Linked DNA regions of Sus scrofa. The protein of the gene in region 1 interacts with the protein of each later gene in a biochemical or structural test. Links are inferred from orthologs where the notes say so. Each region holds a gene or a part of one and is shown in the gene's direction. Other genes may lie near its edges.

Region 1 (6,047 bases):
CACAGCAACACTGGATCCTTTAACCCACTGAGATATTTAACCAGCATCCTCATGGATACCAGTCAGATTCTTAACCCACTGAGCCACAACAGGAACTCCAAAATTTTTTATTTTAAACAGTATTAGGTCAAAATATTTGAAGGCAGAAACAGTAAAGCTACTCATCATAACCTTAAGGTAGATCATTTTCGCACTTTATTATATACAAAATAACAGCCACAGCTTCAATTTGTATAACCTAAACATTTGTTATTAACTTTCCTGCTGGTATAATTTGGGGAGTAAAGAGGAAGGCAGGATTTCAAGATTTGCCTCAGTATTTTAGGGAGTAGTGGCAAAGGTCTTTCATAATCGCTCGCATGGAGAGGCAACAGTCATTTGACAAAGTTATCATGCACTGAGTTTGCTTTTAACATTTTTTACCCTTATCCATGGCATCCAAAGACCTTCTGTTCTGTGTTCACTGCAAAGAACAAGAGCTTCTACTGCTCCTGAGCTATAAAACCTCTGACCAGGTTTGAGATTACAAATTGATCGCATGCTGGCCACATCTACCCTGGGATGTTCTTAGTTGGCCTGCAGGGTTTGGAAATATGGATTTAAAAACTGACAGATTTCATACAAAAATCCTACTTTAGGGTTTCTCTTGGGGCAAAAAAAGTACAGAATATCTCAGAACACTGGATCCACATTCCTCAGGGCAACAATCTGCTACAGCTGAACAGCTGCTCCCTTCAGTTACAGCACCGACACTCCAGTTCGCCACATTTCTTATCACTCGCCATTGTCTTACACCAGGCTAGTTTCACTGATTTGCATTAATTTCCTGGTCCCAGTAGATATTTAAGTTTGCAAATCCTATGCAGACCGTTCCTGTCCCCCATTAAAGCCTACTTTAGTCCCAAGTTCCTCAACAGTTTTCCAAAGCAATAGCTGGTTAATCTGATCAAGTATGGGTATTTTCACATGTGCTCTCTAGTGACAGCATCTTAACAGAAAGGGATGACTCTGCAGGTGGAAACTACAGGGACCACGGAATTAAATAAGGATGGCAACTGTCCAGTCTACCTTTTTTGCTATCCTGACGTAGCCATACCTCACTGTCCTTAGGCAAACTATAGCAATCTGAACACTGGTCCACGTGTGAAGACCGCTTAGTTTATAGATCACCCTACTTCCAAAGAACCCAAACTGTGGAGGGCTATTCTGACTCCCCGTTTCCTCAGGGACTTCAGGATATCCGGCCTGACTGCACTTCCCCTCACCTGCTCTCGGGCCCATTTCGCTGAGGGCAGTCGCGCCCGAGGAGCGCGCGCAGCCACCATGAGCTCATTTCTCAGGGGCGTTTCTGGAAGGTCGGGCCTGGGCGCGCCCGCGCGCGGGGCTGTCGGCCTCACTCCTATCACTGGCCTTCGCGTTTGGGCGGGGCGCGGCCGCGCAGAGGTGGAAGCTTTGTTCTCAATTTAGCGTTTGAGAACTCGCACCCCTGCCTGGAAGCACACTGAATCCGTCCGGGCCTTTCGGGGAAGTAGCTGGCACTGGAGACGCGCTCTCCCCAGCGGAGGGAAACCTTGTGCGCACATGAGCCCCGCCCCGCCGGGAGCCTGTAGTCGGGAGGGGGAGAGAGCCCTTAAACCCTCAGTTCGCTTGAGCGCTCCGAGCCCCGACCGGCTGACTGCAGCAGTTTCCCACTGGCGGGCGAAGGGCTCGCGCTATCTGCGGTTTTCACACAGGCTGCGAGTAGCCACAGGCAAGCCTGTCTGACCATCCACCACAACCCCAGACGCGCTTCTCCCGGCTGCCGGGACCGCCGCCGAGGCCGAAGGCCAATCACACTGCAGCTAGGTCTCGCGATTGGAGGGCAGTGAGTGCCGATTGGCTACTGCTACCGCTTTCGGTCTCCCTCCTTTTCCCTTTTGCCCCCACTCCAGCTCCAAAGCTTGAGACCAATGAGAAGGCGCTTTATAGAGCCCTCCCTTCGCTTTCTACTTCTCCCCACCTTGGCCAGGGAGGAGACGTCCTGACTGGTCAGACTGTCCTCGGAAGCCCCATTCTCTTCACCAATCACCAAGGGAGGTACACTCCCAGCGGAGTTTTGGCCAATTACAAAGCGGTTGCAGCTCCCAGCCTTGCGGTTTCACCAGCAACTCCCGGCTTCACAGTTCTTAACTCTTCAAGCTTTTTCGTGAGAGCCGGCGACTCTGATTGGCCGCTGCTGCCATTGTCGAATTTCTCCTCCAGCCAGCCACAGTATCACTCCAACCCATCTTCTTCTCGGTCGGCTATCTTCGGCACTTTCCGCCCTTGGGCGTGATTTCCAGTGGTACTTTCTAATTGGCTCCTCTGGCCGATCGGCTTTTTCCGGGAGGAGCCGCAAACAAACGACGTCCGTGATTGGCTCCGCTCGGGCTTCGGCTCCCCTGCCGAAGGGGGCGGGCGCCGGGCTCGGCCGGCAATTCTCAGACGCCTGTTACGCGGGCGGAGGGGCGCTGGGCGGTGTAAGGCTGGGTGGGGGAGGAAGGAGGCGGAGGACGAGTAGGAGGGGGGAGGGGTTGGGGAAGAGCTAGGCGGCTGCGCAGACGGCACTCCTCACACAGAACAGCCCCCGACCCGGGCGAATGCGGGCTTTCGCTGCTGCTGCCGCCGCCGCTGCCGCCGCCGCCGCCGCCGCCGCCGCCGCCGCCCGGGCCCGAGTGACAAAGGAAGGAAGGAAGCGAGGAGGAGCCGGCCCCGCAGCCACTGACAGGGCTTCGGGCTGGGGGCAAAGCGCGGACACTTCCTGAGCGAGACCGAGCAGAGGCGAGGGGCGGGAGGGAGGGCGGTCGCGCCGGTGCCGTGGACGGGGGAGGGGGCCCCGAGGGACGGAAGCGGTTGCCGGGTTCCCATGTCCCCGGCGTATGGGGAGCAGTCGAGGAGCCGCTGCCTGGGGTCTGAAGGGAGCTGCCTCCGCCACCGCCGCCGCCATGGCCGCTGGATCCAGCCGCCGCCTGCAGCTGCTCCTGGCGCAATGAGGAGAGGAGCCGCCGCCACCGCCCGCCTCTGACTGACTCGCGACTCCGCCGCCTTCCAGTTCGCCGGGCCCCAGCCGTCAGCCCGCCGGATCCCGCCGCTGCCGGAGCCGCAGCGTTTCCCGTCGCATCTCCGAGCCACCCCCTCCCGCTCCCTCCCTCCTTCCCATCCCCCCTTCTTTTCAAGCGTGAGACTCGTGATCCTTCCGCCGCTTCCCTTCTTCATTGACTCGGAAAAAAAATCCCTGAGGAAAATATAATATTCAAAGTACTTATTTTCAATCAAGTATTTGCCCCCGTTTCACGTGATACATATTTTTTAGGACCTCCCACCCATTTCTACCCTCCAAGGAAAGGGAGGGGAGAGAATTGTATTTTTTTTTTCCCCAGTCCCAGATCATCTATATGTTAAATATCCGTACTGATCTGTCTTCAAGGAGAAATACATCGCTCGCATTTTTTTGTCGCTATACAAAAGGAGTGAAGAGCCAAGAGGACGAAGTCTTTTTTTTTTTCCTGTGGGAGAACTTAATGCTGCGTTTATCATTAACCTAACACCCCAACATAAAACAAAAGGAAGAAGAGGAGGAAGGAAGGAAAAGAAGGTGATTCGGGAAGACAGTGATCATGTCAGGGCGGCCCAGAACCACCTCCTTTGCGGAGAGCTGCAAGCCAGTGCAGCAGCCTTCAGCTTTTGGCAGCATGAAAGTTAGCAGTGAGTATTGATTTTATTTTACACTCTTTCTCCACCTCACCCTTTAAATAAGAGACTTTGAAATACCAGGATCTTAAAATATGATGTCTGATATAACAATCAGAGATAATGGAAAAGGGCAGAAACCTGTCTTCTGTCAAGGATGAGGCAGCTCCCTCTTTTCTCCTCCCATACTCCCTCCCCCGGTCTCATTAACCTTGAATAGAGGGAATATGATTTTTATTTGGATGATTTGACTTGAAATATTTCTTATAGTTTTCTTGCCAGCTTTATCAAGCGGTTGACTTATTTCCATCTTAAAATAGTGATGGAAGTGTTTACTTGGCTCATTCTCATGAATAAAGCGAAGGACAAGATTCATAAACCATTATGTGCTTTTGCAGTGTGTCTTTAGGAACAAGGGATAGTTAGCTCAGATCTCAGGGGTTATCATAGTTTTGTACACTTAATAGAGGAGCTAAATGTCACAGTCTCTTAACAGTTCTTTCTTGCCTTTGTGACTGTACAACGCATTTGTTCTTAATCCAGAGATGAACTTGCTCAGTGACCACTTTCACATTTCCAGGCAAGCATTGATTCCTCCTCTTAGAAGGGACCCGTGAGGTTGATACTCAGTAGCAGTAGTATCTCAACATGCATTGTTTTAAGTCTACCACTATAGAGTTAATATTTAATCAAAAGGTAACTTGGAAGTAGGTCCTGGTTTTGATCGAGATTTGTATTGTCATGTTGTCAGATACTGAGTTGAATGTTAACTGTCACTGACCCTCCATATATCAGTTTTGGGGATGCCATTGCATTCCATACATGCTAAATGATGTAAAGTTCAGGGGTCCCTTCTTAAGACTGTTTAAAATACTCTTGCATTGGTTTTCTTTAGGTAAGACTATCCAGTTAGAGGAATATGGATTTAGACCTTTTCATCATAGGTTTTGCAGAATGCTGTGGTCCTGGATATAATAGGGTATAATTTGGGCTCTGTTCAGGGTTATTACTAGACTGGACCCTCTTGCTAGATTTGTGCAGAAAAGTCTAGTTGAGTGGTACACTAAGTGTCAGATGTTCCTGTGTATCTCTGTTTATGTGGAATTTAAAGAGTTTATTTAAACGTACTTTCAGAATTTGACAAAAATATCTATTCTGTTTCCTTATTTCTCAAGAAAGGGGCATGATGAGGACAACGAAAAACTATTTGGTTGCCTAGAAGAAGGAGAGAATTGAACTGAGATTTTTTTTTTTAAAGTATATGCTGTTATGTGAAATTGATTATATCCTTAAACAGCATAATATAATCACTCTTAATTGAACCCAGGATTTGATTCATGTTGGCCTTTGGAGCTTGCCTAAGACAGTGTAGTCCAAGGTAATAGCTGAATGGTAGATTTTTTTTTTTTTTTTTTTTTGAGAGTTAAATTTTTTTTTGGTGACTAGCTAGTTGAGAATGCAGGGTATGTGAAGAGGGAAGCTGATGATGCATCTTTCAGGGAATGGTCAAGCTTTCTAAGCACTTCATGGGGTCATTTGAGAGGAATATTTTAAAATTCTGGGGTAGTTTTCAGCTATGATGAAGCAAATCTTTTAATAGCTACTTAAGAGCCTATTGTGGTACTGGAGTGTTAGTATGTTTTTCATCTTAGTTAAAAAACTCCTCATAATCAATTTTAGGTAATTAATTTATTAGATCTATTTCAGAGAGCAAAACAATAGCTTATAATATTAAAATTTGGGACTTCATTTTGTTTCCAGGATTCTCTTTGAAAATGACGCTTTAATTCTTGATAGTGTGGGTGTTGATTGAGAATGGAGTAATTCTTGCAAAGTGTGTGAGTTAAAGTGTCTTTTTTATTACTTCATGCAGCAACTTAACATTTAAAAAGTTGGAGTTCAGTGCTAATTATGTGTTTTTGACAATCTTAATTTTAAAGATGTTTTAGAAGAAAGGGGAGTAGTTAAGCATTAGAGTGCTGGTGTTCCAAAAGACTCCTGTTCAAAAGAGGGATACATAAAAAATTATAGACGTTAACCTGAAAAGCTTATCATTTAGTTGTTGAGGTAGTTGTTTAGTTTGTATGGGACAAAATGTGAAAACAGTATCATGATGACTACAAGATTATGTAAATACAAATAGAAAGCTTTGTACATAGGGATTAAAAAAAATAAAGGGTTGAGGTAAATGGGTTGGAGAGGATAGACTTCCTGTAGAGGTGTCTTTTAAGACAGGGGTTAAAGGAGGCTGTAACTTGAATTGACAGAGAAGCATAAAGGATTCTAGATGGAAGGAATGAAGAGAGGCACAGAGGTGGTGATTTTTGTATGACAGATCA
Region 2 (6,050 bases), on another chromosome or scaffold:
GGACGTGGAGACCCGCTTGCGGATCCCTGAGAAATGGTGTGCTTGGCCCTAGCGACAGACAGCCACGGGTGGAAGCCACACTGGCCTCCTCCCACCTCAGGGCCTGTGCACTTGCTGTCTCTACTCAGATGTCCCCTCTTCAGAGAGGCCTGCCCTGACTGCCTCGGTTTCCCCACGGTGCTCGGCAGCACCTGTGCCTCCACTCTTCCATGTATCTGCAGACTGTCGGTGTCCCTTTGCTAGAACGTAAAAGGCCCACAAGGGAGGTCTTCAGGCTGTGTCCCTGTACCCCAGGGCTCAGCACAGGCTGGACATGCAGTAGACGCTTCGGAATTGACAGTCGATATTGTCAGTGAAACAGATCTGGGCTTCATGGACCAGGTCATGTGGGGAAGGTGGTGAGCTCCCTGTCCCAGGAGGCATGTAAGCACAGTTTGGGGTTCAGGGTCTCATGCAGGTTGGATGGGCCATGGGCTCCTGTGATGGTCAGAGCAGGACTCGTGCAGGCTCGTGGTGTGGGGTGTTCCCAGGATTTGCAGCATGGCGCTCCCAGAATAAACAGGCCTTTAGAGGGAGGTTTGAAGGTAGAGCCAGGGAGGGCGGGAGGGGGCTCAGGTTTCCTGTTGGGTCCTGATGGAATCCGGGCAGGAGAGGAGGAAGGAGAGGAAAAGGAGGGTCTGGCTTGGGGAGGGCGGGAAGGTGAGGAGGGGGGCAGGCGGGCCCACCTGTGCCTCTCTTCCCTGCGTTAAGGGCACGCGGGCCGCCCCTCCTGCCGGCAGCTGAGCCTGGGCTCACTGGAGGTTGGGCCCCACTTGGGGGGAACCCTGGCCAGCCTTTCTCCCGGGAACTGGGGTGAGACAGCGGGGAGCTTCCTTAAACAGTGTGCCCTGGGCGCCTTTCTCGCCTCCCAGAACCCCCTCCTCCGAGATCAGGGGTGAGGGACTCCCCTGGGACTACACAGCAAGGGAGGGCTGGGGCGCAGGTCCAGCCCCTCTTGGCCCTGGCACCCGGCTGCTGCAGAAATTGGCTCTATGTGTGTGTGTCACGGGGGTGGGAAGTCCAGTCGGGCCATGAGTTCAGGGGTGGCCCTCTGCATGCCACCAGGTGCCTGTTCCTCACTGCATCTTAGCTTAGGTTGTGTCTCCCGGCCTGCCTGGGGTGGGCCCCAGGAGGTGGCGGCAGGGCCGCTGGGAGCCTCTCCTTCTGCCTCCTTGGTCTGGATGCGTTGGGGCAGGGCATGGCCAGGTGAGAAATGGGAAGCACAAGAGTGCGGAGAAGGGCAGAGGAAGGTGGCTCCGGTGGGGCGGCCGGCCACGGCCCTGCTGGTCCACCTGCCAGGTCCTGGGCTCACACACGGGAGCACAGTGAGGACAGGACCTGCCGTGAGTTTGAATTCAGACCTCGTGTCTTCTGGTCTCAGTCAGGCGAGGTCAGAGCCTTCCCAACAGCAATGTCTTGTGTGACTTTTCGGGTGAGGGCCTGGCAGAGGAGAGAGGGAAGTGGAGGTGCTGGAGAATTCTGCTGCCCTCGTTACCCTCCCGCACGGCCGTGGCCACGGCAGGAGCCGGGCAAAGGGGGAGCGTGTGTGTGGGAGAGGCAGCCTCCTGGAGAGGGAGAGCATCCGGCCAGGGCTCTCCGGCCCCCACCTGCCACCGGCCCCCACCTGCCACCGTCGGCTCCATCGGCCCCTCTAAGGCTGCGGGAGACCAGGAGAGGGAGCAGGGCTGGGCCCAGCTGTGGCTGGAGGCCGGCTTGAGCCCTGGGGTCTGTTTGGCCGCAAAAGCCCAAGCTGGCAGCCTGGGCTGCTGGCCAGGCTCTGTCCCTCTGAGTGTGTGGCGCTCTGACCTTCGAAGCCGAGAGAGGCCCAGGTGGCCCCCCAGCGACCCCGAGCCTGTCACCCTCCGCCCCAAGGCCTGCCCCACCCCACAGCGAGTGAGTCAGGCTCCCCCCTGAGACTGCTGGGGAGTGTGGGGGTGGGTTCGCCTTCCCGGACCCCCACCCCAGACCCTGGCCCCTCTGCAGAGGGCGTCAGCTCTGGCTGTGCACTTGCGGTGGGGCTGTCCCTTCCGCACTCGCTCAGGCTCCAGGCAGTGGCCCGGCCCCGGCCCACGGGGTGGGGACTCACGCTGGGGCTGCCGTGAGGGGGAGGTCCCCGCCCCCACGGCCAGACAGCCCTTCGCCTCACTTGAGCCTGCACCCATTACTTGTCCCCGTCGATGCAGGGAAACGTGCTCGTCCCATTTTCCCGGAGCGCACTGCGACTTAGCGCGGTTGAGACCCGCGGCGGAGGGCTGGGCCATCCCTGGCCCACCCCCGGCCCCGCGCCTCTCAGCCCCCGCAGCCCCTTCGGCCGCACTCTCGGAGATGGCGGGACGTGACCGCCAGTAACCCTGCGGACGTCGGCGCGGGGCGGGTTAAGGGCCGGCGTCCGCGAGTAACCCCGGCCCTCTGCGGCCCCGCGGGGCGCAACCCGAACCGCGCGGTGGGGGTGGGGCGGGGCCGGGGCGGGGCCCCGGGAGGCGGTGGCGCGGCCGCTGATTGGCCGCGCGCGCTCACCCCATGCCCGGCCCGCGGCCCCGGGGCGGGGCCGGCCGGCGGGGCGGGGCCCGGGCGGGGCCGGCGAGGGGCGTGGCCGGCGGCGGGCGCTCGGGGCTTTCGCTGCTTTAAAGCGCGGCGGGCCGGCGGCCCTCGGCCGGTGGAGTCCGCGCGCGGAGACCGGCGGGCCAGCCGCCTGGACGCCCCGAGGGGCGGCGGGCGCGGGCCGCGGAACCATGGACTGCACGTTCGAAGGTATTTTTTGAGGACCCCCACCCCTTTATAGCAGAGCTTCCGTCTCCGCCGTGGGGTCCGTGCCCCCGTGCGCAGGGGGGCGGCCGGAGCTCCGAGTGAGAGCCCGCTCCTGAGGGGAGGAGCACCCGCTCCCGGCTCTCCGGGGACCTGGCGGGCCCTTCCCACCTCCGCAGTCACCCCCACCCCAAGCTCCGAAGCGAGAGGGCAGCTCTCCCACATCCCCTGCCGCCCAGGGAGAAGGGCCGCTCGGGCCCCCCTTTGGGGGCGTATGGTGGGCTTGCCGGACGGACAGTGGAGCCCTGGGTTCGGGCGCTTGTTCTTTCTGGGCCTCAGTTTCCCCATCCGTGGAAGGGGCTCAGGAAGCCTGGGCGAGGGGCTCCAGCCGGTGGAAGCAGCCTGTGCCAGTAGGCTAAGGGGTCTCCGAGGGCCCAGGAGGGCTCAGCCTGGCACCCCCCTGCCCTGCTCTGCCGGAGGTGTCGCAAGGCCCCCTGCGCAGTCACTTTCCCGCCGGAGCACCTGTCAGGCAGTGTCGAGGCCCCTCTCCTGCCGCTGGCTGCCTGCCTGCGGAACCTCTGGCTGCCCTGCCACAAGGGCTTTCATCTTGCTGTTGTGCACATGAGGAAACCGAGGCCCAGGGGCAGAAGCCACTGGCCCACACCCCACCGCCCGTCGGTGGTGGGCAGAGCTGGAAGCTCAGGCTGGGGATCACACTTGGGGTTCCCACAGTTTGCTCATGGGCCTGCAGAGCACTCCGACCCAGTGGGTGGCTCCCCCAGTGGGTTAAAGGGCCCTGGGCTGACCCAGCCGGGCTGCTACTTGCCTTCTGGGGGAGAGGGCCCGTGGCCGGGCTGGGGCTGTGGGAGGGAGGGTGTCCCAGGCGGCACGAGGAGGAAGGGGAACAGACAGCCAGAAGCGACTGCTTCTGTGGAGCGGAAGCCGAAGCCCAAATGGCCGGTTCCGAGGCTGCCTGGCTGCAGACGGGGCTTGGGCTTGTGCCCAGAACACGCAGGGATGCACTGGCTGGCGCACGCGGGGCAGGGGCTGGCTGGGGCTCCCCAGAGGGCTGGGTTGGGGAGGCAGCTCTGGAGCTGGTAGTCGGGGCCCAGGCCTCGGAGGGCCTAGCCTGCGTGGCACTGGCTCGTCCAGTGTCGCAAGGCTGTTTGATGCACCAGGCAAAGCTCCAGATGTCACAGGGGCCAGGGCACATCTGTGTCCTCGAGCATGGGCGCCCGTGTGTGGCTTTCTGTCTTGGTGGCGTCGCTCCCACGTGTTACCACGGTGTGGACGAGGGCCGCGCAGATCCGTGACGCCGCCTCTCCTCCCCTCAGACATGCTTCAGCTCATCAACAACCAAGACAGCGACTTCCCCGGCCTGTTCGACGCGCCCTACGCTGGCGTTGCAGGAGGCACGGACCCCACCAGTCCTGATGCCAGCTCCCCAGGCAGCCCGACGCCGCCTCCTTCCACCATGAGCTCCCCGCTTGAAGGCTTCCTGGGGGGGGCCAGGACGCCGCCACCGCCCCCCGTGTCCCCAACCCAGCCTGCACCCACCCCGCTGAAGATGTACCCGTCGGTGCCTGCCTTCTCGCCTGGGCCGGGCATCAAGGAGGAGCCAGTGCCACTGACCATCCTGCAGCCCCCCACCCCACAGCCCCTGTCTGGGGCTCTCCTGCCCCAGAGCCTTCCAGCCCCCGCCCCTCCGCAGTTGAGCCCTGCCCCCGTGTTGGGCTACCCCAGCCCTCCTGGAAGCTTCTCCTCAGGTAAGGGGGCGTGTGGAGGGAGGGGGCAGCGGAGCACAGGGTCAGGGGGCTGCTGTGGTCTGACTGGAGGTCCCACTTGGTGGCCTTTGGGAACAGGGTCCCTGCTCTGCTGCTTGAGGCGCCCCCGTCCCTAGCAGCACCCGGGCTCCTGTTGCCGGCGCACTGCCCCTGCTCCCCTGGTGTCCGCAGCAGCGCTGCCCTTGCGCAGATAAATGCGTGGCTGGGAAGCCAGCACACTTGCATCAGAGCCCCAGGCAGGGCCTGTCCAGATAGGCCTGAGGCCACAGGGGTGGTGACTCATCCAGGGTCACACGGTGATGAGGACGGGGCAGGACGGGGCGGGTTGAAGGTGGGTCAGGGCGGCCTGTGTCCACAGCCCCAGCCTTTGTCTCTGCAGCGACCCCTCCAGGGAGCACCTCACAGACGCTGCCTGGCCTGCCGCTGGCCTCTCTGCCCGGGGTCCCGCCCGTCTCCGTGCACACCCAGGTCCAAAGTGCGGCCCCCCAGCAGCTGTTGACAGCCACGGCCACCCCCGTGGTGTCCCCTGGAACAACCACTGTGACCTCGCAGATCCAGCAGGTCCCGGTGAGGGGGCTGGCCAGGCACCAGGGAGGTGGCAGTCCCGGCCAGCCCCTGAGCCCCCAGCTGAGCCCTCTGCCTTCCTTAGGTCCTGCTGCAGCCCCACTTCATCAAGGCGGACTCCCTGCTCCTGACGACCATGAAAACAGACATGGGGACCCCTGTGAAGGCGGCGGGCATCGGCTCCCTGGCCCCTGGCACAGCCGTGCAGGCAGCACCTTTGCAGGTGGGCAGCTCGGGCCAGGCAGGGGGCATGGGGTCTGCATGCATGCCTGCCTGCCCTAACCGTGCCTGGGCCCGCAGACCCTGGTGAGCGGCGGGACCATCCTGGCGACGGTGCCTCTGGTAGTGGACACTGACAAGCTGCCCATCAACCGCCTGGCAGCTGGGGGCAAAGCCCTGAGCTCAGGCCAGAGCCGTGGTGAGAAGCGGACGGCTCACAATGCCATCGAGAAACGCTACCGCTCCTCCATCAATGACAAGATCATCGAGCTCAAGGACCTGGTGGTGGGCACGGAGGCGAAGGTGCGGGCAGAGGCCCTGGCAGGGCGGCCCTGGGGAGGGCCGCCTGGAAGGCAGAGGCGGGTGGGGCTGAGCCTGGACAGCCAGGGCCCAGGGGCTCCGTCTGTTGAGCTAAGCTTCATGGAGGCGCGTGTGCTGCGGGCTCTCCTAGGCGCTGGGGACTCAGCAGGAACAGACAGGCACCCCGCTGTCAAGCACCTGTGCTCCTAGCAGCGTGCCAGGGGCGCCAGCAAAGAGGACAGATGGCCTGAGTGCTGTGCCAGAAAGAACGAAGCAGGAAGAGGGATGGTGGGAGTTTCACATCTGAATCGGGGTCGGGGGGGCCTCACGACGGTGTCGTGGTCTGAAGGGGGCTCGGGAGCGAGGCATGAAGGTGGTGATGACAGTGACGACAGTTAG
Region 3 (6,161 bases), on another chromosome or scaffold:
TGACCTTAATCCTATCTCCTTCCTCAGACACAGTTCCCGAGGACTTTGAGCCATTCCGGAGGCAGCTGCTCCAGGGAAGAGTGTGAAGAGGTGGCCACCGGATTCAGAATCCTGATTTTGTACCTTCTGGCCTTGGGATCCATCCTGGAGACCTTGGGGTCTACTCTACAGCCCCTCAGCCAAACACAGACCCTCCTCTGGCACACACCGGGAGTTCAGCCCCAGAGGGGTGGTGACCTCACTGTTGAGACGGGAAGTTTTCAAGGGGTATTTCTCAGGCACTGACCCCAGGAAAGATAACAGCACATTGCTATAAAGTTCCAGTTGTTTTCTAAGCCAGTGCAATTACTTGTTTTAGGGCTTTTCCGGTTTAGTGTGGGGAGCAGGACAAACAAACCTGAGGCCGGTAAGGGAGAAGACTAGTAGAATAGAAGTTAGAGATCTAGAGGGAGTTTGGCAGAGTTTGGGGCATGGTGAGGGAGAAGACTAGTAGAATAGAAGTTAGAGATCTAGAGGGAGTTTGGCAGAGTTTGGGGCATGGTGGACGGGGGTTGGGTGAAGGACGGGATACAGGTCGGAGGATAGCAAAAGTCCTCCCAGCCCCACTTACTCACAGTAGCCGCGGCGACACTCCAGTCTATCTTAGAGCAGCGGGATCGAGAGCCAGGAGTGCTGGGGCTGCCCTGCTCGGGTGAGGGGGAGGCCGGGGGGCCGGGGGGGCCGGAGGCCGGGACGAGTGCAATATTGGCAGGGGAAAGAACAACACTGCACCGCGTCCCGTCCCTCCCGCCCGCCCGGGGCCCGGGATCCCGCTCCCCACCGCTTGAAGCCGGATCAGCCCGAGAACCGGGGACGCGCTGGGGAGCTGGGTTCACCTTGGAGGGCAGAGAGACTTGGCGCCCGGAAGAGAGTGAAAGGGGTGGTAAGGGGGAGGGGGAAGAGGTTCGAGAACGGGAGACCGCGGTATCCCGGAAGGCCGCTTTCCGACGCCCGGGCGTTGCGCGCGCTTGCTCTTTAAATACTCAGACTGCGCGGCGCGGAGCCGTCGCCATGGTGACGCGTGTCCCAGCAACCGAACTGAATGGCTATTGCCTGGCAACGCCGGGGGGTTGAAGTTTTGGGGCCGCCCACCTAGATACTCGCGCTTTCTCTAGCCGGCGGGTTGAGGGGGGGTCTTCCCCGCCTCTCCGACTAGCGCCGGGGCGCGTAGACGTAAACGCACCCCCGCCCCGCGCCCGCCCCCGGGTCGGGCGGCCGCACAAAGCCGAGCGCGCGCTGCAACTGTCGTTCCTCTCCTCCTGGGGCTTCCCTCCAATCCCGCCGCACCGAAGTGTCCTTAAAGTTTATTTCTCAATTTGTATTCTTTGGGGCTAAGAATTGTTTCTTAATGCGGACGTAATTGCTTCTATGCGCCAAGACCGCAACCCAGGACCTCCGGATGGGGCCCGATAAGCTCCACGTGCCGAGTGGCTCCAAATTCTTCCTTGATCCCATATGTTTCTGCCCTTCAAAATACCCCTTGATCTTCACAAATCGCGCACCATCACACACAATTTTGTACTCCTCACCACCACCTTGTGCCTACGTGCCCCAAATACCACTCCCCAAAGGATAGTTCTGTGCCCCCAAATACCATTCGGTTGCCCCACCTATTCTCTGCCTCCTGAAAACATAACTCATCTGTTCCACTCCCCCTCCCACATTCCGATGTCCTCGCCCAAATACTTCAGTGCCCCTTTCCACGTAACTCAGACCCCACCCACTTAGCGCCATTTCCTCCAGACACCGCCCCCACGCGCCTCAGAGTCCCCCCCCCCCAAAAGCTTCCAGCCCCTCCAGTGGTGGTACTGTCTGTTCCTCCCCTCCACTGTCCAAGCAACCCACCGACTCTTCTGGCCGGGGCTCTGCCCTCCCAAGCCATTCTCTGCCCCCACTTAGGCAGCGCCACCCTCCTCTCCGCGGATCGGGGCTGCCCCTCAGCCGGCTCATGCAGGCCCGGTGAGGCTCCAGGTAACCGCTAGGGGGCAGGAGAGCCCGACCAGCGAGCCGCCGCTACCAGGCGGAGAACCGGGGAAGACCCTAAGATTCGGTGAAACGCAGATTTCGCCGTCTTTAATGGAAATTTCTTCCCCGCCCCTTTCTCGGGAGAAAGTCTTGGAAGGACTCGGGCTGCTGGCAAGTCCGGCAGGGGCGGGGACTGGGTTTCGGGGTAAAACTGCGTGTGGAGCGCCGCAGGGAGCTGTTAGAAGGGTGGGGCTATTCCGGGAAGTAGTGGGGGAAGGGGGGGGGTCCCAAACTGGTACCTGTTCATTCGTCATCAAGCCTTCCTCTTCTTTCTCAGCCCCCAGATTGGGACTGCAAGGGACCCAATGAGAATGGGGCAGTGGTGTGGGGGACCTTCCACCACCTTGCGGACCCCCCACCTTGCGGTTCAGGACTTTGACCTAGCCCACTTTCTCTGTTACTTTTCTCACCTTGGCTGTTGTCCTGGGGGTAAAACTGAAGCCAAGAGGACCCAGGTCAGGTCCCAGGCTCCGTCTTACCGCCTTCTGGAGCCAGGGAGTGGTTGGTGAAAGGGGAAGGCCAGCTGAAGAACAAACATGTCAGAGGGTTGAGTGATTGGAGCCCACGTACCCTATTTGAGGGGCCAGGAATGGTTGGGGAGGAGGAGGAAGAGGGAGGAGGGAGGGAAAGGGGGAGGGGGCGGAGCTCTGTCACCTGTCACCTGCTCTGGCCGAGCGGAGGGCGGGCGGGGGACCGGTATAAAGCAGCGGGCGCCTGTGCCTGCTCCACCTCATGCGCAGCACCTGCCTGAGTCTGTTCTGCCCCCTCCCCACCACTTTACCGCCATCATGACAAGGGACATCCAGGCCCCTTTCTTCTTCGGGCTGTTGCTACTCCCAGTGCTTACAGGTGAGGGGCCCGGGGAGGGGGGGGTGCTCTGCTCCTGGGGTCTTCCCAGCCTTGCTGTGAGTTTTGCTTCCTGGGAGAGAGCATCCAAGAGGCAGAAGTTGCAGACAGGCATGGCCCAGTCTGTGCCCGAATAAAGGAGAGAGGCCAAGGACAGGCTGAGACTAGACAGCCCCCCAGGAGAGTGGGTGCCAAGAGCAGGCGGATGTCCCAAAGAGAAGCTTGGTGGGGGCGGGGGGTGGGGCTGAAGTCTGGAGAGGCAAATCTTGGCAGCGGAGAAAGAGATAAGCCAGGAGCAGGGGGATATGGGAAGAGAGAGGGGGGTTGCCAGCAGGGGAGGAGGAGGAGGAGGGCTGACCTAGGGGCCCCACTCCCCAAATCCTCCTGGTATGACTTCTCCAGATGCCAGAGAGTATATTTTCTCCTTGTGCTGACTTGTCCCCCAATCCGACTCTGTAACCCCAACTTCTTACAGCTGCCGTCTCCTCTTCTGAGACAGCAGTTCCTACAACCTCTGGCCACACAAGCAGAGATACACAGACTTCAAATATCCAAAGCAGCCCAATGCCCAGCTCCACTGATGGAAGTGCTGTGAGCGCAACCAGCAGTTCACTCATCACCCACAGCCCTGCCTCAAGCTTGGTCAGCACTCCAGCCCCAGACTGACATTTCATCTCTGACCATCAGCCCTACCAGAGACCACATTAGCACTTCATCCAGGACCACAACTGGCATGTCCTCTCCAACCACCAGCCCTGCATCAGGTTTGGCCACCACTCCAGTCCACAATGGCACTTCATCTCCAACCACCAATGGCACCTCATCTCCAGCCACCAATGGGACCTCCTCTCCGACCACCAGCCCTGCATCAGGTTTGGCCACCACTCCAGTCCACAATGGCACTTCATCTCCAACCACCAATGGCACCTCATCTCCAGCCACCAATGGGACCTCCTCTCCGACCACCAGCCCTGCATCAGGTTTGGCCACCACTCCAGTCCACAATGGCACTTCATCTCCAACCACCAATGGCACCTCATCTCCAGCCACCAATGGGACCTCCTCTCCGACCACCGGCCCTGCATCAGGTTTGGCCACCACTCCAGTCCACAATGGCACTTCATCTCCAACCACCAATGGCACCTCATCTCCAGCCACCAATGGGACCTCCTCTCCGACCACCGGCCCTGCATCAGGTTTGGCCACCACTCCAGTCCACAATGGCACTTCATCTCCAACCACCAATGGCACCTCATCTCCAGCCACCAATGGGACCTCCTCTCCGACCACCGGCCCTGCATCAGGTTTGGCCACCACTCCAGTCCACAATGGCACTTCATCTCCAACCACCAATGGCACCTCATCTCCAGCCACCAATGGGACCTCCTCTCCGACCACCGGCCCTGCATCAGGTTTGGCCACCACTCCAGTCCACAATGGCACTTCATCTCCAACCACCAATGGCACCTCATCTCCAGCCACCAATGGGACCTCCTCTCCGACCACCGGCCCTGCATCAGGTTTGGCCACCACTCCAGTCCACAATGGCACTTCATCTCCAACCACCAATGACACCTCATCTCCAGCCACCAATGGGACCTCCTCTCCGACCACCGGCCCTGCATCAGGTTTGGCCACCACTCCAGTCCACAATGGCACCTCATCTCCAACCACCAATGGCACCTCATCTCCAGCCACCAATGGGACCTCCTCTCCGACCACCAGCCCTGCATCAGGTTTGGTCACCACTCCAGTCCATGTTGGCACCTCCACCCCAGCCACCAGCCCTGCCTCAAGCTCAACTGTCACTCCAACACACATGGGCACCTCTTCCAAGGCTACCATGTCCCCAGTCAGCAAAGGTACTCCATCTTCAGTTCCTAGCAACCACTCTGATACTCCCACCACTCTTGCCAGCCACATTACCAGAACAATTGCCAACAGCACTAACCATAGCATAGTCCCTCCCACCTCCTCCCATCCTAAGACTTCTCAGCAATCTTCGGTTATGGTCTCTTTGATCTTCCTGTATCTTCGCATTACAAACCTCCAGTTTACCTCTTCCCTGGAAGATCCCACCACCAGCTACTACAAGGATCTGCAAAGAAGGATTTCTGAATTGGTGAGTACTGCCTTTCCTCTACCATGCTCCCTTAAAGCAGACTTCAGAACTTTTCCAACCCCTTGCATCAAACCTTAGCCCTGGAGTTCCCATCGTGGCACAGTGGTTAACGAATCCGACTAAGAACCATGAGGTTGCGGGTTCAATGCCTGGCCTTGCTCAGTGGGTTAAGGATCTGGCGTTTCTGTGAGCTGTGGTATAGGTTGCAGATGCGACTCGGATCCCTCGTTGCTGTGGCTCTGGTGTAGGCCGGTGGCTACAGCTCCGATTAGACCCCTAGCCTGGGAACCTCCATATGCCGCAGGAGCAGCCCAAGAAATAGCTTTAAAAAAAAAGACAAAAAACAAAGAAACAAACAAACAAACAAAAACTTAGCCCTTTCCCTCTCATCTCAGTTTTTGCAGGTTTATAAAGAAGACGGGCTTCTGGGACTCTTTTATATCAAGTTCAGGTACAGTTTTCGGGGTGGACTCTGTGTGGGATGGGTGGACAGTGTCATGACTGTGGGCAGCGGTTGGCATGCTTGTGGTTGTGAGGGATGTGCTGACCCAGAAGCTGGGCCCCGTGGCTGAGTTGCCCATTTCTCTTTGACCAGGCCAGGATCTGTACTGGTAGAGCTGATTCTGGCCTTCCAAGACAGTGCCGCTGCCCACAACCTGAAGACACAGTTTGATCGGCTTAAAGCGGAAGCAGGCACCTATAACCTGACCATCAGTGAAGTTAGTGGTGAGGCCACTTCCCCAGCTGCCACCCAGCCCCACACTGCCCCGGGCCAGTCTTTCTCTGGCATCTGGGCTGCTTTTTCTCTTGGTGCTGGTAGGGGGAGGGTCACCTCCTTTGGTAGACTGCCCTGAGCCCTGCTTTTCCTTCCAGTGATTGATGCACCATTTCCTTCCTCTGCTCAGCCTGGGTCTGGGGTACCCGGCTGGGGCATTGCCCTGCTGGTGCTGGTCTGTATTCTGGTCGCCCTGGCCATCATCTATGTCATCGCCCTGGTAAGTGCTCAGTCCCTAGCCCTGACCAGGGTCCCCCTGTGGGCAGGCCCTCCGCGGTCCCCCTCAACCTCCTATCTCCCCAGGCTGTGTGTCAGTGCCGACGAAAGAACTGTGGGCAGCTGGACATCTTTCCG
Region 4 (5,980 bases), about 18 Mb from region 1:
GGTTCGATCCCTGCCCTTGCTCAGTGGGTTAACGATCCGGCGTTGCCGTGAGCTGTGGTGTAGGTTGCAGACGCGGCTCGGATCCCGCGTTGCTGTGGCTCTGGCATAGGCCGGTGGCTACAGCTCCGATTCAACCCCTAGCCTGGGAACCTCCACATGCCGCGGGAGCGGCCCAAGAAATAGCAACAACAACAACAACAACAACAAAAAGACAAAAGACAAAAAATAATAATAATAATAATGGTAATAACTCTAGGGTCAGGGTAGAAAGAGATAAGGGTAAGGAATTGTTTGTTTTTGATAGCTGTCATCTAATGTGTGTGAGGTGACAATTTTGTTGTAGTCTTGATTTGCACTTCCCTAATAATTAGTCATGTAAAGTATATTTCATGTGCTTGTTGGTCATTTGTGTATCGTTTTTTGAGAACTGTCCATTCAAATCCTTTACCCATTTTCGTTTTGTTGTTGTTGTTGAATCGAATAACTTTTAAAGCTGAAAAAGCTTAACGAGGAAGTTCCCTTCATGGCTCAGCTATTAACAAACCCAACTAGCATCCATGAGGATGTGGGTTCCATCCCTGACCCAGCTCAATGGGTTAAGGATCTGTGTTACGGTGAGCTATGGTTGTAGGTCTCAGACTCGGCTCAGATCCAGCATTGCTATGACTGTGGTGTAGGCCAGCGGCTATAGCTCCGAATCGACCCCTAGCCTGGGAGCTTCCATATGCCTCAGGTGCTACGCTAAAAAGCAAAAAAGAAAAAAGAAAAAAAAAAGATTAAAGAGTCCAGAAAGAGTTTCCCTAAGGCCCACCCACTAAAACCTTATCTATCCGGCTACCAGTCTACAGAATTACAAACCCTGGATTTACCTCTCACACTTTCAGAAGTGTCACAAGTCATTTAAAATTTTCTACAATTGGACCTACTTTTCATACTCTCATCACAGTTCCACTCCACCGCTTGTGCGTGCTCGCAAATTACTAGTCCTGTTTACTCACCCTTCTTGTTTCTTTTTTCCTGTGGATTTGTAGCACAGTCCAACACCTTCTACAATGTACACTCACTTAATTGAAAACTTTTACTGACTTGCCTTCTGCAGGCTAAAATTTCCAAAATTCTTAGGAAATGGTCTTTCACTTAACGCCATCATTAACTGGTAAAGGGAAGAAATGAGAGACTCCTTGGACCCACGAGGAGTGTGCCTGAGTACCACCGGTCCAGCTGCTGCCCCAAAGGGAAAACAACAAATCTCAGCCCTTCCAACCCCAAATCCTGACGTGCAACACAGCCCTCGGGTGGGAACAAATTGTGCAGAAACTTTGCAGGATGGTGGAATTCCAACGAAAAGAGTGAGGTACCTTGCAGGAAAGCTTCTTGCCCACCAAAGGACACCCAACCCGCCTCACCTCGCTTCCACCACATCCCCGAGGTCCCAAGCTTCAGCAGGCCTGGCTTACCAGCTCAGCCACTGCCTCTTTCCCCAAATGCTGCTGCTCCTCGAGCACCTTTGCACTTCTGTCACCAAGGTTTGCTGCTTACCTTGGGGATCTACTCAATTTTATAGTATTCTTGGGAGTTCCCATCGTAGAGCAGCAGAAAGGAATCCTAGTAGGAACCACGAGGATGCAGGTTCGATCCCCAACCTCACTCAGTGGGTTAAGGATCCTGTGTTGCCGTGACCTGTAGTGTAGATCGCAGACGCGGCTTGGATCTGGCGTTGCTGTGGCTGTGGTGTAGGTTGGCAGCTCTAAGTCCTATTTGACCCCTATCATGGGAACCTCCATATGCCGTGGGTGTGGCCCTAAAAAGACAAAAGACAGAAAAATAATAATACAGTGTTCTTGGACCCACTCCATGGGGTTTCAATAAATGCTTGACATGCTGAATGAATGAATGAAGATGTCAAAAAATAGTAAATTTTTGGCCATGCAAAACTTGGCAGAAAGATTGTAGAGCTATGACGTCTTACAGATTGGGTTCCAATACCAGTTCTTCCATCTACTAGCTGAATGAACTTCATCCCACTGAGAGTTCCAGAAATGTTTGTTGAATGAATGAGTAAAAGGTTCTCCAAGATGTGTGACGAAGTAAGTGCAATAACGCTTGTATCATTCCTGTCCACAATCAGCGCTTTACCAGAGTTACTACTCTCTCTACTATTCCGCGTTCTGTATTCACATAGACTGTTAGTCCCCTGAGGGATAGGAATGTCTGACTCAGTTCTGAATTCCCCAAGGTGCCAGGTCACATTAGGTGACGAGAATAAAGACGGAGGACCACAATTTTTGAGGTGCTCAGGTGGCTGGGGTGGGGGGGTGGCAGAGAAAATTACACATCCAGAAAGGTTCTGGCCGTTTCGCAAAGACCAGAAGTCTCATTATCCCGCAAGAACCTCAGCTTGCTCACGTACAAATGACGGCCGACTCTACTTGCCAATAGACTCTGCAGTCCATAGGACCCCAGGCCCAGGCGCCTCAACAGGTCACCTTCCGCAGCGCTGGGCCGCAGACCTCACTCCTCCCTGCCCAACCTCTGGGCTGAGGAAGACGCATGCGCACTCCTCTCTCCGCGGCTCCTCCCGCCCTTCCTTCTCTAGTCCTTCGCGTTTCGAGTGCTAGGTCTTTTTGTCCCTTACTGCTTGCCGTGTCAGTTTCCGTGCGGAAGTGGTGGCCGTGAGAGAAGAAGATGGCGGCTACTGTGGTGGCGCCGCCTGGTCCGGTGCCTGGTCGAGCCAACAAGCGCAGCGGCAGCGGACAGGGTGGCGGCGGCGGCGGCGGGGGGGCAGCCAGAGGGGCAGAGGAGGAACCGCCGCCGCCCCTACAAGCAGTTCTGGTGGCCGACAGCTTCAACCGCCGTTTCTTCCCTATCTCCAAGGACCAGCCTCGGGTGAGCGCCGCACGCTTGGAAGCTGCCAGAGGGCCTGGAGGTGGCGGGGCTATAGCAAGTTATCCCTTCGGCTTCCTGGTGAGGCGGGCTCTGGAAGGACTTGTGTCCACTCTCTCTCTCAGAAATCGGGTTTATCTGATTATGAGGAAGGCGAGGAGACCGTCTAAAGCCCTGACGATTGCCTGACCAAGTGAGTGGCTGGCAGATTTGAGCACTCGTCGTGCTGTCCACCTCAGGTTTGGGAGCTCTGCAAAGGGCTGATGCAGAAGCAGTGCTTGTGAGAAGCCTTCATTCTGGGATTCAGTGCCTCAAGAGGAGGCTGCGCTGGCTTTATGCAGAGGATAATAAGATCGAGTGATGAAAGGGAATGTCACCTCCTTTTGCCTCCAAAAGGGAGATCATATTGTCGTCCCCCCCCCCAAAAAAAAAGAGCAGACTTGTATAGTGTGGTTTTTTTGGTGTTTCGTTTTGTTTTGTTTTTGTCTTTTTGCCATTTCTAGGGCCTCTCCCGCGGCATATGGAGGTTCCCAGGCTAGGGGTCTAATCGGAGCTGTAGCCACCGACCTACACCAGAACCACAGCAACACGGGATCCCAGCCGCATCTGCCACCTACACCACAGCTCATGGCAACAACGGATCCTTAACCCACTGAGCAAGGCCAGGGATCAAACCCATAACCTCATGGTTCCTAGTCGGATTCGTTAACCACTGAGCCACGAGGAGAACTCCAAGTGTGCTTTTTTTTCTTCCCAGGTTTTAATGAGAGCCAATGCCATATGTCAAAAGAAGAACAGAACGGGTTTAATGGCTGGTTGCCAACATCCCTGCATTGTCTAGAAGCTGGGGAATTGGCCTCAGCTAGTCCTAGGGATTGCTGGGTCACTCAGCAGTCCCCAGTTCAAAGAAAGGGACTTGGCATTCAATTCAGGAAAAGTCCTCTTTGACTCTTCACTTCCTCCAAATAGTCTAATGACTGTTTATTTTGGACAAGTGATGGGGATGACTAGCCCTTGCCTCTTAGAAAAGGATCAAGAAAAGAAATTTTAGGAGTTCCCATCGTGGCGCAGTGGTTAACGAATCCGACTAGGAACCATGAGGTTGCGGGTTCGATCCCTGCCCTTGCTCAGTGGGTTAATGATCCAGCGTTGCTGTGAGCTGTGGTGTAGGTCACAGACGCAGCTGGGATCCCCACATTGCTGTGGTTCTGGTGTAGGCTGGCAGGTACAGCTCCGATTAGACCCCTAGCCTGAGAACCTCCATATGCCGCGGGAGCGGCCCAAGAAATGGCAAAAAAAAAAAAAGAAAAGAAAAGAAAAGAAATTTTGTAGAGAAAAAGGCCTCAGTGGTGCTTAAATTTCTGGAGATATGATTGATCTCTAGTGTTACCCTTTGTCAGGAGTAGTCTCCTGTTCAGTACCAGCTCTGTGTCTGATGCTAAGCATGTAGATTCCATGCTTACTATGTCTGAACTGCAACACATTAGACTGATGTTTAGAGCATGCCATGAACATCAAAGGCAGGAGCCTGATTACTTTTAAATAGGAAAAATAAATTAAAGCTGGTGTTTAAACACACTGATAGTGGAGTGAAAATTGTGGATGAAGAAGGGGAAGGAATGGTACCCAGAAGGCCTTCATGGATTCAATACTTCAAACTTTTTTTCATCTCCTACCCTCCAGGCCCTCTTGCCCCTGGCCAATGTGGCACTAATTGACTACACTCTGGAATTTCTGACTGCCACAGGTGTACAGGAAACCTTTGTCTTTTGTTGCTGGAAGGCTGCTCAAATCAAGGAACATTTACTGTAAGGCTCTGCAACTTTTCTTTCTATGTTTCACCATTTTTTCCCCAGGTTCCTTAGAATGGTTATAACTAAATAAGAGGGAATTGTAAGGGAGTAAAATATATCTATTTGAATTCCATCATAAGCTTTAACTAAGGGCATTCTCTTAGCAGGTGAGGAGCTGAAGCTGTGATAGAGATTAAAGAATAGCATTTGGAGGTCCTGTTGTGGCTCAGTGGTTAATGAATCCGACTAGAAACCATGCGGTTGTGGGTTCGATCCCTGGCCTTGCTCAGTGGGTTAAGGATCCGGTATTGCCGTGAGCTGTGGTGTGGGTTGCAGACACGGCTCGGATCACGTGTTGCTGTGGTTCTGGTGTAGGCCTGTGGCTACAGCTCTGAATTGACCCCTAGCCTGGGAACCTCCATATGTCACGGGAGCAGCCTAAGAAATGGCAAAAAGACAAAAAAAAAAAAAGTTAAAGAATAGCATTTGGGTTTTTTCTGTATCTTACTTATAAAGTTTGGTTCCAGTAGGTTTTTGCTTTTTATTTAGTGGCTCCAGTATGCAAGTTACAAAAGTAACATATTTGCTTTTCCACTGAGCTATGAAATATTGAGCTCTTCTTCATCTTTGTATTCCCAGTGCCTAGCTTAGTACCAAACTTTGTTAGTACTTAACAAATGTGTGATGAAATCTTTCTGGAAAGAGTGAATCTCAAGATTTATTGAAGTTTAGGAAATAAAGACTAGGGTATTAGCATGCTCTCCATCAGACAGTATGAGCTTCAGAAAGAGAAAAGTGTGTTCCCAGGGTGCTTTGTATAAGCTAATTCTCAGTAGGATGTTTAGTTCAAATCCATGTTTAGAGACAGGGGTCAGGGTATGGAGAGGAAATAACCATGTTTCTCTAGCCCATAAAACAAGACTAGTGACAAACTATGCTGAAACCATTCATTACGGTTCATAAATGTCTTTGAAGTTGAGGATGCTGGCAAGGACCCAAAAAGAGCCATAGCAAAGGAGCATGAATGTTGAATGGGTGTGAATGGGTGGAAAATAGGGACGCTCTACGTGATTCTTATGCTTGGTTTACTCATTCCCCTCACCCCTCTTCCTTTAGGAAATCCAAGTGGTGTCGCCCTACATCCCTCAATGTGGTTCGAATAATAACATCAGACCTATATAGATCACTGGGGGACGTTCTCCGTGATGTTGATGCTAAGGCTTTGGTGCGCTCTGACTTCCTTCTGGTGTATGGGGATGTCATCTCTAACATCAATGTCACCAGAGCCCTGGAAGAACACAGGT

Evidence for each region. The genes of interacting proteins can lie anywhere in the genome.
Region 2: the proteins of GSK3B (region 1) and SREBF1 form a complex in vitro, tested with the Homo sapiens proteins (2 studies listed by BioGRID, with this or other methods). The link is inferred for Sus scrofa from reciprocal best matches to the Homo sapiens genes GSK3B and SREBF1.
Region 3: the proteins of GSK3B (region 1) and MUC1 form a complex in vitro, tested with the Homo sapiens proteins (2 studies listed by BioGRID). The link is inferred for Sus scrofa from reciprocal best matches to the Homo sapiens genes GSK3B and MUC1.
Region 4: of the proteins of GSK3B (region 1) and EIF2B5, one has a biochemical effect on the other in vitro, tested with the Homo sapiens proteins (2 studies listed by BioGRID and IntAct). The link is inferred for Sus scrofa from reciprocal best matches to the Homo sapiens genes GSK3B and EIF2B5.

What each region holds. Positions count from the first base shown.
Region 1 is NC_010455.5:140,133,567-140,139,613, forward strand, and holds the start of GSK3B (glycogen synthase kinase-3 beta), read left to right. Parts: upstream 1-2,542; 5' UTR 2,543-3,635; coding exon 3,636-3,723; intron 3,724-6,047. UniProt on the Homo sapiens protein: Constitutively active protein kinase that acts as a negative regulator in the hormonal control of glucose homeostasis, Wnt signaling and regulation of transcription factors and microtubules, by phosphorylating and inactivating glycogen synthase (GYS1 or GYS2), EIF2B, CTNNB1/beta-catenin, APC, AXIN1, DPYSL2/CRMP2, JUN, NFATC1/NFATC, MAPT/TAU and MACF1.
Region 2 is NC_010454.4:60,738,650-60,744,699, forward strand, and holds the start of SREBF1 (sterol regulatory element-binding protein 1), read left to right. Parts: upstream 1-2,662; 5' UTR 2,663-2,771; coding exon 2,772-2,790; intron 2,791-4,118; coding exon 4,119-4,550; intron 4,551-4,947; coding exon 4,948-5,135; intron 5,136-5,217; coding exon 5,218-5,355; intron 5,356-5,432; coding exon 5,433-5,654; intron 5,655-6,050.
Region 3 is NC_010446.5:94,623,571-94,629,731, forward strand, and holds the start of MUC1 (mucin-1), read left to right. Parts: upstream 1-2,773; 5' UTR 2,774-2,852; coding exon of another isoform or gene 2,853-2,936; intron 2,937-3,385; 5' UTR 3,386-3,450; coding exon of another isoform or gene 3,451-3,501; 5' UTR 3,502-3,643; coding exon 3,644-5,032; intron 5,033-5,427; coding exon 5,428-5,483; intron 5,484-5,627; coding exon 5,628-5,758; intron 5,759-5,905; coding exon 5,906-6,027; intron 6,028-6,110; coding exon 6,111-6,161. Other genes in the region: THBS3 (thrombospondin-3), read left to right, coding at 28-86. UniProt on the Homo sapiens protein: The alpha subunit has cell adhesive properties. Can act both as an adhesion and an anti-adhesion protein. May provide a protective layer on epithelial cells against bacterial and enzyme attack.
Region 4 is NC_010455.5:122,057,816-122,063,795, forward strand, and holds the start of EIF2B5 (translation initiation factor eIF-2B subunit epsilon), read left to right. Parts: upstream 1-2,592; 5' UTR 2,593-2,685; coding exon 2,686-2,886; intron 2,887-4,566; coding exon 4,567-4,691; intron 4,692-5,792; coding exon 5,793-5,978; intron 5,979-5,980. UniProt on the Homo sapiens protein: Acts as a component of the translation initiation factor 2B (eIF2B) complex, which catalyzes the exchange of GDP for GTP on eukaryotic initiation factor 2 (eIF2) gamma subunit.